Xenopus tropicalis: one gene and its partner. The protein of the gene in region 1 binds, or shares a complex with, the protein of each later gene. Links are inferred from orthologs where the notes say so. Each region holds a gene or a part of one and is shown on either strand. Other genes may lie near its edges.

Region 1 (4,387 bases):
ATGAGGAACTGAAGAGCTGCAGCTTCTTTTTACTCCCTGCAATTCCGAAAATGGAATCTGACCATCCACAGCGAGTTTTATATATCAGTCAGTCTTGCCTGCAGGCTGTTCCTTCAGTTATCTTTTGGGAATCAACCAGAGTATGGCCATCTTAGGGGCTAGCCACCTGGGTTTCTAAAGGCAGAACAACAGTGAGATGGAATTAGATCAGTGCTTGTGTTGTGCACCACAAAAATAATAGGGACTAGCCTGTAACAATACTCATCTTAAAATAATAGTTAAAAAAAAAAGGAATATTGGTGTGTGCAGCCTCAGGGTGTGCGGCTTTATTTCATAGTAGAACTAAAGGCATGCATCCTAACTAAACTGCAAGTCGATCACGCAGGTAACCTTGTGTCTGAATAACTAGCACCCTAAGCAGCCTACTGGTACTGGTGTATATTTCCCACATACATATAAAGTTCATGATTTTCCATGATCCATGTGTGTTTCATGTGACAAAAGCAAGATACAGTTAAAATGAATGATTCATGGTAATGATAAACATCTGTCACTATCAAATCAATTGTGATTTTGCCTAAAACCCTAACCCCACCCTTTTTCCCTATCACCCTCGGCTGATCCTAGCAACTAGCTTCCAGATGTGGTATAATGTGGATTACATATGGATACTGAGGGCTAGGTATCCATGTCAAGCCCAATCTAGGAAAGACACAAGAGGCCAGTGTAGATTTTATATCCTCAAAGCAGCATTTATTTCATCCAAGTAATCCCAAGACATTTAAATTGGGTGTCTGGCATTATATCAGCATCCATTGTAACAGGCGAGTACACACTGTGCAGGTGTAGCCAGACCATACAAGGACTGACCAGCACACAACTAACAATCAAATAATGAGGCCCTCAAAAGTAGCAGAAAAATAATAAAAAAATAAAATAAAACAAAATGAAAAAAAGAGCATCCAAACCCACAGGAGATGCAGAATTATAAACACGCCATAAGTTAAAAGGGCACTGAGAAACCTCACAAAGCTCACATGTAAAACGTCTATTGTAAGCTAAAAAAAAAAAAAAAAAAAAGGATGTGGCTCCCTATCCCTCTGAGCACTGGCCAATCACAGTCTTAGCTGTGGCGGCACCTCACCAGAAGGGGACCAGGGCAATATTACATGCACAAGGAATGCTGCACAAATTAAAACTAAACCAGAGTATCTTAACGGAATAAAACAGGACCACTTTGCTTCATTCCAGCCCGTACTTGCCCTATCAACTAGGAGAGTTTGGGCGCCTTTCTTAAACCGCAGCTTCTCTTCAACCCCGCTCAAGGCGAGGGAAACCTAAGAAACAGCTGATGTGCCAACGCAATCCAGCAATGCCCAAGAGGACTCCGCAAGAACCCGTTCTCCCCAGGCAGGCAGCAGTATGAGCAGTTGTGCCAATGATACGGATATGATAAGCACAGGACATGTTTGGGGTTAAGGGTTGGAAGTGTGGGTGGCAAGTGGTGTTGGGGAGCGGGTCATTAATGGGCAGCAGCAAAACGCAGGGCCCTCTTTAGTTGTTCCCTTCTCCAGTCTCTTCATCTTGCTGGTCACTTGTCCACAGGGTCAGGTTGTCACGCAGCAGCTGCATAATGAGGGTGGAGTCCTTATAGGAATCTTCATTTAGCGTATCTAGCTCAGCAATGGCATCATCGAAGGCCTGCTTGGCAAGGAGACAAGCCTGCTCGGGGTTACCCTGTATCTCATAATAGAAGACAGAGAAGTTAAGGGCCAGGCCCAGTCGGATGGGGTGGGTCGGCTGCATGTGTTCTTTGCTGATTTCAAAGGCCTCCTTGTACGCGGCTTCGGATGCTTCGGTCACACTTCGCTTTCTCTCTCCTGAGCCCACCTCTGACAGGTAGCGATAGTAATCGCCCTTCATCTTTAGATAGAATACTTTGCTCTCGTACTGGAAGTCGTTGCAGTTCTTGATGAGAAACTTGTCTAGAAGTGACAGCACTTCACTACATACCGCCTCCAGCTCTGCCTCGATCTTCTCTCGGTAGGCTTTCACCTTTTCCAGTTTCTTTTCATTGCCATCTGCTAGTGTCTTCTGCTCAATGCTGCTTATCACACGCCATGAGGAGCGGCGTGCCCCGACCACGTTTTTGTAGGCTACAGACAGCAAGTTCCGATCCTCGTTAGACAAAGGCTCGTTCAGTTCTGTGACCTACAGAAAACAGGGATAAGATGCCAATCAGAACACATGCCCACATAATATCAGAAAGTGATAATAATCTCTATGGGGAGCTGTAGCCTGCAATACACAGGAGACCTCAGTGGCCTTCGTGGCTACTACTTTGTGTTCTTGGTCACATACAATGCACTGTTTGTGGATCTGTAATCTGTGCCTCACTTCTATACACCCCAAGGTGTGATTCACTAACGGAGATCACACCCAGTTTTAATCTGTGATTAAGCTGCCATTAGGTCATAATTAAAAATGAAATGCGACAGAATGAACCAGCTAGTGGTGGTACAGTGTCACTGGTAGAAGTTGCCTCTGTTACTGTGAGCAGAAAGGCTGCATGTGCCAATGGTGCACTCTCCGGCACCCATACACTGCTGCCCCACCCCGCCCACATACTACATGCAGATCCGCTTACCAATGCACATATATTGCAATAAATACAGATATTCATGTGTATAGGTGCAGTTTCTATGGCAAATCCATTCATTGCACAGGCATACTAATTGTTTAGTACAAGGATATACACATATAGGCTATAAAGACATACTTACCGATTTCATTGCTGCCGCCATGTCCTCATATCTTTCCGCCTGCTCCGCTAAGCGGGCTCTCTGCAGCAGCTGCTCCCGATCAGCCATCCTTTCAGCAGGCGGGCTAGATCAGACGCCGGTCTGTGCTGTGGATCCGGTACCAGTACCACCCTAGCTCCCGAACACTGTCAGCGCGCTGGACCAGGTTCTGCTACTAGCAGCACTTCAGCCCAGGACGCACTACCGAGGGGCGGGGCAAAGGCGGAGCCTTACGGAACATTTCTAGGTGACGTCATGATCTATTTATAGAGACTACTAAGAGCATGCGTAGTGGAAGTGCTGCATTGCACTGCAAGAAGTGGGGGCCCTGGGGTAGGAGGGGGCTGGGAATGGAGAGCGCTACAAATTGCTGCTGTCACTGAATGCAAGTCCTTATAGGACAGCGCCCCTTCCCTCTTTAGTAACGCACAAACTTCAGTCCCGTTACAAAGCCCAGCTTTATTATGCAGCGTTCTACATCAGTATTTCACACAAGGAATCTCAGGTACATTCTTGTCAGCTTTCTGGAATAACAATGCGCACTTCCAAGGTTATTGCCATAAAATACCTCCAAATCCCGTCCCTAAGCATACGGGCCTATGGCAACAGTTTCTCTTCAAGCACTGTGTGATGAATTTCCACACCTGCCATAAGCTTTATGCAGAGCTGGTAAATCTGCTATACATTTTGTTTCAGAAGCAGCAATGTACCTGTATAGATGTTACATCATAGCATGCCAAACACTTCTCTAGAAGCAGCCACTGATCTGTTTGGCAGCCTGCTGTCTGGGCACTGTGCAACTGCATCAGTATGGCATGTATCCTTCACTTTAAGCCAAGGCCCCCAAGGGCAGAGGCACAGCCTTCATGGTTAACTGAGAACATAAGTTATTCTCCCATTAACATGGAGAGAGACCAGTATATATACAAATCGACCAGCACTACTCTGTGGGGAAACTACAAGGATTTAGCCAGGGCACAGCTTCAGCACTGCCCTTTCATGAGCCATAATCCAGTGTCAGCTATTTTTAAAGTGCAACACTGCTTTTACGCTTTACATTTTCAAGACAATCCTAAGTGAACTGGTCTTTGTAAAGAATGTCCAATAAGCTTGAACCACTATCATAGTGAATATGATATTTTACAACTTAGGTTGGTCAACGCAAGAACTACTTCTACACACGTTAGCAACGAATGGAAAAGGCACAGAGTATGCTCCTCTTGGAGGAGAGACTGTCTATGCACCATAGACACTGTTGTCTTGACTTTGGTTGCAATCTCCTTGCAATCCTCCTGTTCAGCGTAGATACTGCAGGCATATCTAAGGCGCACTTGTGTTCATTTTCTCCAAGCAGTTTGCCCAGAATGTGCCTAACCTGTTATCTCTGTTGGCACAGAAGTCAGTAAAGTCTTTAAGCAGTCGGTCAGCAAACCTCTCATCTCCTGTACCAATGGAGCGCCACGTTTTAGTCAGCATGGTATTGTAGGCCCAATTATACCCTATGCGTTCTTCTCCAAAAAGGTTCTGAGTAGAAGAGCTGGTCGAATTCCTCCTACGTCTCTGCTGTCCTTTCCGCTTTGAGTAAG
Region 2 (2,597 bases), on another chromosome or scaffold:
GCATACAGGATTATTATTTGCTACATACAGTATTATTATTAGCAGCTACTTGAAAGTGGCTAAAATAGCATTCTTTGATTCATGCATTTGTATAACAGACTAGTTTGGAATTTTGACACATACTCTGTTGCCCTATAAAAGGGTTGAGGTTACAACTTGAACTCCTTTCATATGTATACTCACTGTTTTAACTATTTTTTCTTAGGTCCTGTCCCTTCATCTGGTACTCACCAGTCAAACCACAAACGAACACCCTCTGAGGCAGACCGTTGGCTTGAAGAAGTATCCAAAACAATCATGCAAAGACAGTCTCCAGTTCCTGCAGTCCCAACTCAGCCTATGGTACAACCTGCCCTTGCCGCACCACAGCCTAACCAGCCTTACCTGGCCAATGCTTATGTGACCTCACAGTCTATGCCTGTCTCTGTTGTCCCAGGTCTGCACCCTCCCTTCATGCCTGTGCAGCCACCATACTCTGTAGCCAATGGAATGAGCTACCCAGCTTCCAGTGTTCCAGTTGTTGGCATAACCCCTTCTCAAATGGTAGCTAATGTTTTCGGAGTTGCAAGTCCACAGGTATTCCAGCCTAAGCCATCTCCAAATTTAGCCACACAGCAAACCTATCCAACTTATGAAGCATCCAGTGCATCCAGCAGTCCATTCTATAAGCCTCCTGCCCAGCAACAGAATGGCTCTGTTGCTTTTAATGGGGTTGAAAGTAGTGGGTGGGAATTGGGCGCTAAGAGCCAGCAAGCTCCAGCTGCCCCTCCTCCTGTAGACCCATTTGAAGCTCAATGGGCAGCTCTTGAAGGCAAATCTAGACCACGTGCAAACCCATCTCCTACAAATCCTTTCTCTAGTGACCTTCAAAAGACTTTTGAAATTGAACTATAGAGTTGGACTGAACAAGCAAACAGTCTCTGTGAGGAGTAGCAGTGTTTTAAGGATTCCAAATCTCTTCTTGCAAATCCATCTCTTTAGAATTACACATAAAAGGACCAAGAGGGGGGGCATGAAAATTCCATTGGACAGTAACTGCAATGGAGGTCTGTGGGAATATTAAGAATATCCATCCCCACAGATCTCATCTACCCTGCGTTGGCACAGAAAATCAGAGACGAACCTGGACAGTGGTCATGGCAAGGCGGGAGTAAAACTGGCCGCCCACTGGAGATATGACTCTCTGCAGAACCACTGCAGTGCCTGAGCTTCCATATTGAAAGATATGTGTAAATATGTATGGAGACTGAAAGGGGGGTGGGGGGGAAATGTTTAACTGCCTTTTATGCCAAAGGGGGCTGGAGCACACTGTTGAGTATTGCATTGCAGCCCGCTCTGGCAGCAAAGGGCTCAAGCCAAAATCTTTATTTTTATGCATTACAAATATTTTAAATAGCGTGGGTTAATTCATAAGTTTGTAAGTAATCTTGCCAAAGGTTAAACGAAGCTGGAAAGTTCAGTTGTCATTAATTGTATATAAGATTTAGCTGCTATTTCCTAAAGAACTGGACTGGCTGTGGTTTTATTTTCATGCGCTTTAGGCCACCTTCCTTGTATGTAGCACATTGCTTTAAACAATCACGACCAAGAGAAATATCTCTATTATACTTTTAATGAAAGAGCAGTATTGCATGGTGTAACAGCCATAGCGGACTATTTTCTTTCCTGTAATCCGATATTACACAAGAAAGATATATATATTCTCTATATAAATGTTTCTTTTTGGCATACCGCTGGAGTTTTTATATATGTATACTTATATATATTTATATATTAATATATATGATTATATATATTAATATATATGTTTTAGACTTTTAATACCACTATGATCTAATGCACAGAAGACTTTATTTCATTCTCATTATTGACTTTCACTGTTTCTGTAAATTCTTTTCATTCATAGTTTTATTTTTTTTATTGTATACCTCAAATCATCCTAAGCACACACTCTCTTCTTTATGTGTAAATGTTGGTTTCGCATCTATGTGTATATTTGTACTGATTTACAGTCTTCTTTAACAAATAAATGTTGGTGGTGGAAAAAAAGCTTCTTTTCTTGTGGTTTTCTTGTGCTTGGCCAATTGTAGTTTTTTTTTTTTTGTTTTTTTTTTTACTTTTCTGTGTTAAATGTTTTTTTGTTTTTTTTTTTGTATTAAATCCGTTTATTTTCAAAAAGATAGTAAAGCTTCACATTATACATTTATAGCCTTTTACATTCAGACAATTTTGTTTCCACATTCTTTACATCTTATCTATTTCTAATATAGATACCTTAGAAAGAGGCTATCGTATATGTTGAGGAATAGAAAGGAATGAGGGAGGGTAGGGGTAGGACTAGGTAATGATAGAGGAAAGTAAAGATGAGTGGAAAAGAAATAGAAAATACAAGAAAGATATAAACTACAGAAGTGGTGCGGTCTTCCTGTGTTAAATGTTATGCTTTAAAGCAGTGATCCCCAACCAGTGGTCTGTGAGTGACATGTTGCTCACCAACCCCTTGGATATTGCTCCCAGTGGCCTCAAAGCTTATTTTTGAATTTCTGGCTTGGAGGAAAGTTTTGGTTGCATAAAACCCAGTGAAAAGCCAAATGGAG

Evidence for each region.
Region 2: the proteins of ywhah (region 1) and numb are in contact, whole or in part, in a crystal structure (PDB 5YQG), measured with the Mus musculus proteins. The link is inferred for Xenopus tropicalis from reciprocal best matches to the Homo sapiens genes YWHAH and NUMB. Residues at the interface, in NP_035868.1 of Mus musculus: Arg57, Arg132, Tyr133, Leu177, Asn178, Val181, Glu185, Ile222, Leu225, Asn229; in NP_001129547.1 of Mus musculus: Gln274, Gly275, Ser276, Phe277.

What each region holds. Positions count from the first base shown.
Region 1 is NC_030677.2:152,232,913-152,237,299, reverse strand, and holds ywhah (14-3-3 protein eta), read right to left. Parts: upstream 3,003-4,387; 5' UTR 2,871-3,002; coding exon 2,784-2,870; intron 2,212-2,783; coding exon 1,555-2,211; 3' UTR 737-1,554; downstream 1-736. Other genes in the region: GATOR complex protein DEPDC5, read right to left, coding at 4,122-4,387. UniProt on the Homo sapiens protein: Adapter protein implicated in the regulation of a large spectrum of both general and specialized signaling pathways. Binds to a large number of partners, usually by recognition of a phosphoserine or phosphothreonine motif.
Region 2 is NC_030684.2:106,105,539-106,108,135, forward strand, and holds the end of numb (protein numb homolog), read left to right. Parts: intron 1-205; coding exon 206-894; 3' UTR 895-2,049; downstream 2,050-2,597. UniProt on the Homo sapiens protein: Regulates clathrin-mediated receptor endocytosis. Plays a role in the process of neurogenesis.